3 linked regions of the Cricetulus griseus genome follow. The protein of the gene in region 3 purifies or fractionates together with the protein of the main gene of each other region. This does not show direct contact. Links are inferred from orthologs where the notes say so. Each region holds a gene or a part of one and is shown on either strand. Other genes may lie near its edges. The genes, in order: Dyrk1b, Dyrk1a and Fam53c.

Evidence for each region.
Region 1: the proteins of Fam53c (region 3) and Dyrk1b purify together in Homo sapiens (affinity purification with mass spectrometry; 3 studies listed by BioGRID and IntAct, counting the BioPlex papers as one, with this or other methods). This does not show direct contact. The link is inferred for Cricetulus griseus from reciprocal best matches to the Homo sapiens genes FAM53C and DYRK1B.
Region 2: the proteins of Fam53c (region 3) and Dyrk1a purify together in Homo sapiens (affinity purification with mass spectrometry; 8 studies listed by BioGRID and IntAct, counting the BioPlex papers as one, with this or other methods). This does not show direct contact. The link is inferred for Cricetulus griseus from reciprocal best matches to the Homo sapiens genes FAM53C and DYRK1A.

Annotation. Positions count from the first base shown.
Region 1 is NC_048602.1:7,917,650-7,921,397, forward strand, and holds the start of Dyrk1b (dual specificity tyrosine-phosphorylation-regulated kinase 1B), read right to left. Parts: upstream 2,779-3,748; 5' UTR 2,680-2,778; coding exon 2,601-2,679; intron 1,516-2,600; coding exon 1,352-1,515; intron 576-1,351; coding exon 456-575; intron 358-455; coding exon 169-357; intron 1-168.
Region 2 is NC_048597.1:3,174,585-3,178,232, forward strand, and holds part of Dyrk1a (dual specificity tyrosine-phosphorylation-regulated kinase 1A), read right to left. Parts: intron 2,028-3,648; coding exon 1,407-2,027; 3' UTR 1-1,406. UniProt on the Homo sapiens protein: Dual-specificity kinase which possesses both serine/threonine and tyrosine kinase activities. Exhibits a substrate preference for proline at position P+1 and arginine at position P-3.
Region 3 is NC_048595.1:202,726,383-202,730,030, forward strand, and holds part of Fam53c (protein FAM53C), read right to left. Parts: intron 1,017-3,648; coding exon 232-1,016; intron 1-231.

The sequences.
Region 1 (3,748 bases), on a different chromosome or scaffold from region 3:
TTCCCTAGTGTGGAGTCTTCTTATTTACACTTCCACAGAAACTGAGACAGAGGGAAACTGAATGGCTTGAGAGACTGGCCCAGGACAGAACTCTGGGGGTGGAGGGAATGTGGGTAGGGTTAGTGGCTGTCTGCACCCAGACACTGGATGAGTGGGGGAGTCCCACACCTGGCCAAAGGAGCCTTTGCCAATAAGAGAGTCAATCTCATAGCGCTCCAGCCAGCGCTCGCCACTGCGCACAATGTAGTCGTGGTTGTCGTCGTCATAACCGTGGTTCAGGACCTTCTTCTCCTTTTTGGTGCTCGAGTCCTGGGGTGGCGCCTGTTGGGCCCGCCGCTTCTTCTTCGCATAGTATACCTGCTCAGGCGGCCAGGAAAACGGACCCTTGAGTGACCTTGGCAAGCAGCCAGGACTCTCTTCAGCACCCAGCCGGGGGAATCCCCCGCTGCACCCACCTCATTGATGTGCTTGTAGGTCTTGATGAGGTCCACTGAGAGCTTGCGCAGCGGGGCTGAGGTTGCGTCCCGGAAGGCCAGGGGCAGTCTCCGAGGAAGTAGCCGCACATCAGGCAATACCTGTGGGGGACAGGGGCAGACACAGAGCACCTTCACCTCCAGCCTCCAGGGAGAGAAGGAAGGGTAAAGCCGATGGCTGTTTGGCCATACCCACATTTACCTAGCTCTGCACAAGAGCAGAGCTTCCCCAGGGTCAGATCCCATTCTATGGGGCCTGTCAAACATTGAGGTTCCCCAGACAGCTGCTCGTTGCATGATGAAGTAAATGACCGTCTACCCAGCCCCTGGTCAGCTCATCTGCTTTCTGTCTGTATTACCTTCTAAAGCTCAGTGGATGCACTGAAATGGAAACCTGGATTCTCTGTACCCAAGACCACTGTTTCTGGGAACCAGGCCACTGAATTCCCTGTATTTCCATGTCTGTGCCCAGTTCTTAAAGCGCTGGGATGGGGATCAGACTTTTTGGGTTTCCCACTCCCCTCAGCTCACTCTCCAGGCTTTTCACTCCAAACCGCTGTCTCTTGTGGACACCAAGACCTGTGTTCTGGTCTGTTGTGTGCCAGAGACAGTTCTGAGCCCAACAAACATTACACTTAATTTTCTTAACCCTTGAAACCAGAGATGGAGGGCCATGGAGAAGCTCAATAACTCAGTCCTCATGGCAGGAGTAATAAGTGTGGACTTTCCAAACGCCACCTGAAATTCTTCCAGTTGTCACCAGGCCGCCAACATCCTCAGAGATCTTCCAACAATCATGCTGCTGCCGCCTGGAGACCCTTTTTTTTCCTCAGTCTCTTCCTATCCCCAGGCAGGTGAGAAGCCAGCTGAATGCCTACCTGTGTGTGTTCCTGGGGCTCCGGAAAGCCAGAGAAGGGACCATGGCCTGGTGGGACGGCCATGGTGGGCTCAGAGGGCCGCAAGGGTGTGAGGCCTGGAGCGGGAGCCCGGCCGGGGGGCGCCTTCTCGCATCCTGCACCTCGGCTGCCACCGCCGCTGAGACCTGAGAGCAGGTAGGGAGCAGAAAGACACCATGGAACAGGAGGGTATGTAGGTCAGGGCCACGCAGGAGAGTGGGCATGAAGAAGAGGGCAGAGCAAGGGGAGGCACTCGGTAGCAATGCAGAGGGGAAGTGGGTTGGCATAGCAGTGTCCCTCAACAAATGATCAGCCGAATAAATGCGGCAACACAGTGGGAAAACATACAAGGGAATGGGCAGAGCCAGAGGGGTGGGAGAGAGTGCGTGCAAGGCCAGGGCAGGAAGGGCAGAGAAAGGCCAGTAATTGGAGGAGCAAAAGAGAAGCCGGAAACCGTGTAGAGTCTGAGCAGTAGAATTCATTTTTTCTTTGAATTTCTGCTGGTGCCCATTCCGAGTCGCTCAGATAAGGCCCCGCCCTCGCATGGTCTTCCCCTCAACATCAGGATCTGGGCCACATTGAGGGCCCCATTTCAAATCTAGTCTAGCCTCTAGTTCTTTCCACTCTAGGGAACTCCCGGACAGCTCACACCATAGCAGTCCTTGCGGACCTCCCAGCAAAATCAAGGTTATCTGGGAACTCGTGTTATGTGTGAGTGCTACGGGTGTCTCAACCACCAAGGCGCCCTCTGCCCCTGCCCGGAGACCAACTCGACACCCCATCAAGACCGCTCCCCGCTCCCTATTCGGGGTATCCCGTGCCAGGGACCCTTCTTCTAAGTAGCCTATATTTAGGATTTCACCCCTGCTACTAAGGAAGACAAGAGGGAGGTGTCGTTTCTCAACAGTTTAAGAATCACTGTCTCTTTCTCCCTAACACTGGGACCCTTGCGGTCCCCCCTCCTAGCCAATTATTTCTAAACCGGGTCACTCCACAACTGAGCCTATTCCTAGAAGGGCCCAACAGCCGAATCCCTACACGACACACACGTCTTGGCTCCCTGAAAAGTGTCCTCCAGAACAGAACCTTCTACCTAAGAGCCTCCCCGGTGTCAGTCAGATAGATCCCTTCGACCCTACGCTCCTCCGTCCGCCACTCCAGGTCCCCTTTACGGGGGGCTGCAGGGACAAACCACCTCTTCTTCCCCGGCCCTCCCAGCTCCCACCCCTACCCGGGTCAGGGCTGGCGCCGGGCCCACGGGGGGCTGGGGAGCGATGGGGCCCCCAGTGCGGTGGGCGAACGGCCAGCATAGCGGTGGCGGCGGCGATGAGAAGGTGGCCGCCTGTCCCCGGCCCGGCCGGCCCGGCCAGCCCCGCGGCGGTGAGGGCGAGCGGGACAGGCGGCCCCGGTGGGTGACAACAGCAGCCGCCGCCACCGCCGCCGCCGCCAGGGGGGGGCGGGGAGAGGAGGGGACGAGGGTCAGACCGGGGCACGCGGGGGGAAGGGGGACAGCAGGTGGACGGGGGAGGGGCGGGTTAACCCTCGCCCTACGGCCCAGCCCCGCCCGCGCGGCCACCCGCCCCAGGGACCCTGGCGTCCCGCCCCCCACCCGGCAGGCCCGCCCCGGCCGGTGGAGTCCCGGCGGGCGGGGCCCCGATGAGCGCGGCAGGCCGCACCTCCCATGGCAACAACCACGCCATTGGTTGTTGCCGCCGGGAGCCCAGCCAATCGGCGCGCGGGGCAGCTGTTGCTAGGCGACAGCGAAGCGGCCAGCGCAGCCGAGCCCAAACAAAGGGCGGGAGTGGGGCCGGGCTGCCCCCTCCCAGACTCCCTCCCAAGACGGCTCCCTCGGGCTCGGGCTCGGCCCCTTCCCGAAAGCCGGCTGGAAACAGCGGGGCTCGGCCGCCGCGGCCCCAAGCCCCCTCCTCCGCCTCGCTAAGTCTCGCGGGGACGGGCAGGGCGGATCCCGGCCTGCCCCCCATCCACGCGTGCCGCCCCGCCCCGCCAGCCCGGCCCGGCCGCCAGCCCGGCCGCCCGCCGCACCGTTACCTGAGGGCGTGGGTTAGGGGACTCAAACTGCTCGGGGAGCCCGAGCTCAGACCTCCCCACTGGCTGAAGGTGTCCGGCGGACGCGGCGAGCCAGGGCCCCGATTACCCAGTAATGCAACCAGCAAAATGGCGACCACAACAAACCGGCCCCCCTGTCCTGGCTCCGCCCCCACACCGCCCACGTGACCCAGGGGGACTCGGCGCGCCTGCGCCTTCAGGGCGCGGAGCTGCGCACATGCGTAGCAGCCATCGGTGGAGCATGCACCATGTGACCGGATGAGACTTTCCCAGGCAGCGACCCCCCCCAAGCGCACAGAAAGTTGGTGAAGG
Region 2 (3,648 bases), on a different chromosome or scaffold from region 3:
GTACAGCCATAATTTCCACTGACATTTAAAAATGGTCTAGTTACACCTTGTGTCAAAGTGCAGAACTGCTACATTATTGGTTACAGACATCTATGTGCTATAAAAACAGCTTTGGTACAATAAATTATCAAAAAAGAAAATAAATTTTTGTAAAATTCACAGCATAATTGTGAGGCAAAAAAGCAGTCACATAAAATTCTGCATTTTAAAATGTTCAGGATGAACAGAAGACGTCTTTGTGCAGAAGAAATGGTGAAGACACCACGTGCCGAGAAAAAGCCAAAGAAAAGGTAAAAAGCAGGAAGGGCACAGCTGTAGCTATTTCCATCAAAGCAAACCACTACATCTGTGGCCTTCAACCAATAAGGGGTCAGCTTTATGACACACGCAAAGTGACCTTGCAATACCTTACAATTAGTGGGTCACAAAAGTCTATTTTAAAAGAAAGGCCTCTTGAATTACCCATTCTCTGTGTTTTCAGGGTTAAGGACTGTCTGCAAACGCATGTCCACAAGTGATTGTATCTGAAATGGTAGGCTCTTCTAACTTCGAGTCCAAATCCATAAGGCCAAAGGTCATCCCAAAGACCACCACTCAGACCTCCCCAGGACTGGCCACAACTGACCCGCGCGGTGTTGCTTCTCAGTGCACCTTGCTGAGGAGACCAGTCCTGTTCCATTCCCATCTTCCCGGGGCCTCTCCAACAGGAAGGAGACCCACAGGATCCCATGGGATTGCTGCTTCGCTCCTCGGTGGGTTCAGATAGGAGAGTCCTGGTCCCCGCCACTTAGCATGCTTAATGTGCCTTACAAACTCCAACACAATCGTCCCTTTCACATAGCTGAAGATGGTGTTTGTGTGAGCTGGAGGTCCCTCTTCCTTACAGTACTGCATTTCCGTGCCCAAGTGTATAGAGGACATAAAAACCCTTATTTCCCAGCCCACCCCAACCCCAAACAAAACAAAACATGGGGAAAAGGAGAAAAATAAAAATGAAAAAAAAAAAAAAAAACCAAAAAAACAAAACACCCTTATGGGGCCCTTTATGCAAATTATGTGCAGTGCCTTTTTATTTTAAAATTAGTTGGCAAATGACCAAGACCAACATCTGAACATTTAACTTTTGTTGGATAGAAAGACAAACCCACTATGACCGGGAGATGGCAGGTTAAAAGGGGGGACAAAAAGAGGGCACCTGGGAGCTCTCCATGAAGACAGGTGGACATGGCTCTGAAAAACTTCTCTGTCCCTTTGCAATCTTTTCAAGTTAAAAAAGTCAGCTTTGCCCTCTTGTAGCGGTTCAGTGTGTTAATCTCCTTCTGATTCAAGCAGCTTTGCACTTTGTTTTTGGGAAAAACACCACTTCTATAAAAACACACAAGAAACAAACTCAAGTTTCAATGTAGTCACGAGCTAGCTACAGGACTCTGCTGCACACAAACTCCTGTCATGGGAGACTCTTCTCTATCAGCCCCCTGCCTCATCGTCAGGTGTCCTTCAGTCATGTAATGTGCAGGGCCTGTGTTAGCGGAAAATTGGTATGTTGGATGTCCAGCTATGCCAGTCTCTTGGCGGGGATTGGAGTAGACGGTTAAGTTAACGTCCATAGCTCCATTCTGTCCAAAGTCCAAGGCGTTAGCAGCCACTGGGCGGTTCTGATAGGCCTGGTTGCCTTGATTACCAGTAGAGGAGGAAGATGTGGAGGAAGAAGTCGTTGAGGAAGACAGGGATGTCATGGAGTGGTGGCTATGGCCAACCTCCATAGAATCCTGGGTAGAAGAGCTATTTGTTGGAGAATTGTAGACCCTTGGCCTGGTCCGGTTACCCAAGGCTTGCTGTCCATGGTGGTGGTGGTGGTGGTGGTGGTGGTGGTGATGATGGGAGCTGTTTCCATGGTGATGATGCAATGCGTTTTGCGGAGGGCCTACATGAAAGGTTGTTTCTTGAACAGGATGAGTTTCAACAGTGACTTGTGTAGGAGCTTCAGTGCCTGACCAGCCCAGAGGAGCCGGGAATGGCTGGCGCACCTGTGAGGGAAGACATTAAGGAAGGGTTATTCAGCACTGCTTCCAAGCTTAACCTACACCTGAGCATCTGCACTCAGGTGGGTGAACTTGGGGTTGGTGGCGGTGGGGGTTGTTGAAGCTTTTAACACACTAGATAGTTCTATACCATAAAATTCTATGTAAATTCCAGAGCAAAAAATGTTTTACAATTAAAATCAGCCAATTTTAAGAAGTTACACTCATGTCCAGGTCTCCATGTCACCGTCTACACCAGGTCAGTAAGCTTTCTATAAGGAACCACCAGGACATCTGGCAGGTCCATGAGAGCCTTCATTTCCCCTTGAAGTCCCTCTTCCTTCCAGATCTCTTGATACAATAAAAGGACTCGTATCCACCCAGATGTCTGACAATTCCTCCGGACTCAACCCAGCATGAAGTACCAAAGAGATACCTCAGACCAGATCCCAAATCTGACCACTTTTCTTACCGCCATCACCACTACCACTTAGCCTAGGCTAATGCAAAGGCCTCTTCACAAAATAAAAAATTTAACACCCCCCCCCGCCCCCCCGCTTCCACAGTTGTTCTTCTCAACCCATTGAGAAAAGCAAGACTATCCTTTCAAAACAAAAATCAACTCATTCCTTTACGGACTTGGATCCCAATCTCCCCAGACCCTTCTCACCCTGACCTGACCTGAGACTCATGGCATCTGCACTTGCTGCTTTCTCCCATCAAGAGCACGTTTATTTCTAATCTTTGCTTACATTCCCCTTTTAAAATCGCCATGTCAGTTCCTGAGTTCCCGGATGTTCTGACTCATGCTGCCCCAGCCCTCTGTGGCCAGGCTACTGATGTGCCCCTCTATGTACAACATGACTGTACCGGACTCTCCAGCCCCCTTCATGCTGGGCACAGCCATCAGCACAACTGTGGCTGAAATGAGCGTGACTTTAGATGTCACTCACTGTATCTAGTGCAGTTAGGTCTGTCTGCTGGGCACCATGGCCTGGGCAGCTGACCTGAGGGCACGTGGAGTCACACGGGGGCGACACAGCAGTGCTCTGGACACTGCATCAGCTGCTTCTCTGTTACACTCAAGGAGGGAAAACTCTTGCATCCTCTCAGATTTACTCAGATAGTGTGCAGTTAGTCTGTTAGTCACTATACCTCACGAGCCTTGGCTGCCTGCACTGGAGTCTGCACTGCCCAGGGCTTTGCCACCACCATGAAGGTAACTCCCCAGAGGCGCACACCTCTAGACTTTCCCTTTCTGTAAGTATCACTTGCCATTTTTGTGTTTTGCTGCTTACTTGTGTCAATGTAACCTCTGAAAAGGCAAAAGCTGTCTCTACCACTAGTTTAGCACAAAATGTTAAGTTCTTATTTAATAAAAGTTACATGGGAATGAAAAGTCCTGAAAATCCAGTAGGGGAGGACAAAACTGGAAGATAATCTCACAAAAGAAAATGCAGGTTGAACATCCTTACTCTGGTATGAAACACTTGAAATGAGAGCATTTAACAATTTCAGATTAGGGACATTCAACTGGTAAAAAGTGAACAGCTACAGCAAAATCTAAAAGAACTGAAATCGAAGTGCTTGGAGTCCCAGCACCCTCAGATAAGGAGTACTTGATACT
Region 3 (3,648 bases):
TCTAAAGGTTTAATGTCTCAGTCTAGTTTCTTTGAACACCAAGGACTAATCTGACAGGACAGGAGACTTTAAAGGTTAAAACTCAAATAGTTCCAGGCAAGACAGAATGGTCCTCCTAGAATAAACTCTAGAGAGAAGAGTTTCCAGATATACCTACAAGGAAGGTGGTGCTAGGAGATGTTTCAACAGTCTTTCCACTCTGTCCATGCTCTTCTGGTCTACCAGTCTCACCTGATTCATCTTGTCAAAGTCCAAGGAAGGCCGTAGGCGCCGGGAGTCCTCTTCATGACGCCGCTTGACCCCAGTTTTGCGGGCATCCAGGTCACAAGGCTGCGAGCGGCTTCGGGGAAGATTTCGGAGACCTCGAGGTCTCCAGGGCAGCTCGGGGGAAGATGCAGGGGAACTCCGGGCAGAGGGCAGGAAGCGGCTTGCCTGTGGGCCCAGGCTGGGTGACAGGGAGAAGCGGCGCTGGGGTGGGCAGGGTGACAGGGACTCAGCATCACTCTCCCAAGAACCATTCTGAGGGGAGGTGGCGCAGGTTTGAGAGGAATCTTGGGCCAGGGCCAGGCTGAAGAAAGGAGGGCTGTAGGGTCTGTGGGCTGGGGCACATTGAGAAGAGGCACTGGGAGCTTGGAGGAACCTGAGGCTGGAGACCCGCTTCGGGGGGCTCTGGTGAGGCACCTGCGGCCCACCCCCTCCAGCACTGCCCCGGTGCTTGATGGGAGTCCACAGCTTGGAGGGGGCGGGCCGCCACACTGGCTGCCAACGAGACAGGTCCACAGGCACCGAGAGTGAGCGGCAGTGCCTCTTGGATGGAGGAGCAGGGGGCACAGGAAGCTTCTCTGGGTCTGGGGGTTCAGGTCTTAGTACTTGGGGGAGGGGCTGCTCCTGCGGGGACGTTCCCCGACTGGGTGGTCTGAGGTGCAGGCTTAGGCCTGAGGGATGGTAGCTGAAGTTGAGGCTGTCCTGGAACTCAGCACAGGAACAGTGGGGCAGGCCCCTCCAGGAAGCACCTTCTGAAAGGCATTCATAATAAAAAGTATTAACAATAGCGAACATATGATAAGAGCTTATGCATCACGTAATGCAGTCAATACTTGGTGTGGCTTCACAAAAATCTTCATGGAGGTACCATGATTATCCCTTTTTTAGATGACTGCAGCCTAATTGGCTCCAAAGCATGTAGCTATCAAATGAACAAAATAGGATTCAACCTTTACTATGCTACCTTCGTCCTAAGAACATCCTCGAATAAAGAACATTTACACAGTCTGCCACTTCTCTAAGGTGAAACCGTGAAGAGAAACCTGTATGTCTCTGTGTATGACCTACTCACCCCCAATATTCTAGACCAATCATATCTACAACCCAGCTCTCCCTGCTCCCAGCCTGCCTTCTGAAAATCAGGCCTATGTTCGCCTTCCCTGGTCTTTTCCTCTTACATGTCACCAGGACCAAGGAGGGCAGTGCTGTCTAGTGGAAGTAATCAAGCAACTGCTTTTACTGCTAGAGAAGGCAAGGAAGATGTTGGTGGTCGATGGTAGAACATGTGCTAGAAAAACTCTAAGATTCTGTATTATTTTTGTTCTTTTATGTCTGTGCGTATACTCTGGTTCCCTTCCCCCTTAGACCTTCAGTATAAATTTTTGGAAAAAAAAAAATTTTTTTTTTTTTTTTTGAGTCTAGCTCTCACTATATAGCCCTGGTTAGCCTGAAACTTGCTATGAAGACCAGGCTGACTACAAACACACAGTGATCACCTACCTCTGCCTCCTAAGTGCTGGGATTAAAGGTATATACCACCATGCCAGGCTCTGGGCCTTTTAATGTCAAGTAGATTGGAGGAACAAGTGGGTATAGTAGCTCAGACCTATAATCCCAGAATTCTGGAGAAGCAGGAAATGAGTTCATGTAATTATTTGATAATCACATGTTGAATTTGAGGCAAACCTGGGCTACATAAATAACATAAAAGCAAACTTCCTATGTCTGACAAAGATAAGGGAAACAGGCTAAAAGGAATGATCCTTACTCACTACATTCCAACCAAAACTGTAACTTTTGGAGAGTGGGAGAGTGAGTGAGTGTGTGTGTGTGAGAGAGTGTGTGAGCGTGTGTGCGTGTTATGTGTGTATGGGTGTGTGTGTGCATGTGTTCGTGTGTGTATGTGTGTACATGTTCATGTGGGTATGGGCAAGAGCCCACATACGTTGACCTCAGAGGTCAACATCTGGTCTTGCTCAATGGCTCTCTACCTCATTTTACTTTTAAATTACATTTTATTTATGGGTATATGCATGTGTGTGTGCGTGTATGTGTGTGTACCAACACCACAATCATGTGTATGAAGATCAGAGGACAACTTGGGAAGTCATGTGGGTCCTATGGATGAACTCAGGTCATCCAGCACTTTATGACAACCTGTCTGCTCCCCCCCCCCCATTTTTTTATTTTTATTTTTTTGAGGTAGGGACTCTCACTGAACCGGTCACTCATCAATTTGGATAAGCTGGCTGGCCAACCTGTCTATACTTCTCTAGGCACTTGAATTAGAGACTCTGCCCACTCCAGGATTTTCTGTGAATGCTGGAGACCCTGACAAATCCAAACACTCATAACGCAAGCACTTGACCATTTTTCCAGCCCCCATCCCCCAACAGTGTCTTTTTTTGAGACAGGGTCTCATGTAATCCGGCCTCAACCTTGCTATATAACCAATGCTGACCATGAACACCTTTTATCTTACTGCCTCTACCTTCCCACATAAGATAGATTTGGGGGAAATAGCTCACTACAGGACAATGGGCCTATTCCAAGTTTTCTCAGTAATTCTTTAGAAAGGGCACAAATAAAAGTATTTAAATCAGACTTGATGACAGCAAGTATTTGGTCAACAGTTCTTCACCTTACTAACTTTCCTAAGGCAGGATCATGGATCCTTATGACATAATACCTGGCTTTCAACAAGTGCTTAAGAGAAAGAGAATGAATGCAACTGCTTCTGCCAACTCACCTCCCTTTCTGGGTATCCCAGAAAAGGAGACATGTGCAGTCTTTACATGGGTCAGACAGCTTCTGTCTGTCTTTTTATGCTCATACTCATAGGTCCTGAGATTAATTCATACTATAGGAATTTACATTGCAGATGCTTTTTCACATATCAAAAATAACCTAGGGACAAAGTTATTCACGACAGTTCTGGGTAGGGTATAGAAAACTAGTCTGGAGAGGTGGCTAGTAGGTGAGAACACTTGCTCTGTAAGCATGAGAACCAGAGTTTAGATCCTAGCACGAATAGCCAGGCATTCCCACCTAAGTCTGTAGGATGGAGACAGGAAGTTCTCTGAGGCTTGCTAGCTGCCAGCCTACCTCTAGGTTCAATGAAAGACTGTGTCAAAGTAGTGAAGCAGAAGGATAGAACAGAACATCTGACATCCTCCTTGGGCTTTAGTGCAATAGTATCCATACATACACATGTGCATATATAATACATGCACACACACCCCAAAATTAGAAGACTGCAAACTGCCCAAATCTCCATCAGCAGGGATTAGGTAAACTACTACAGATCCATGCAGTGTAGGAATGTACAATTACATTAAACAGGAAAACGCTCAGCACAGACAGGGAAAGGCACTCAGCTGCACT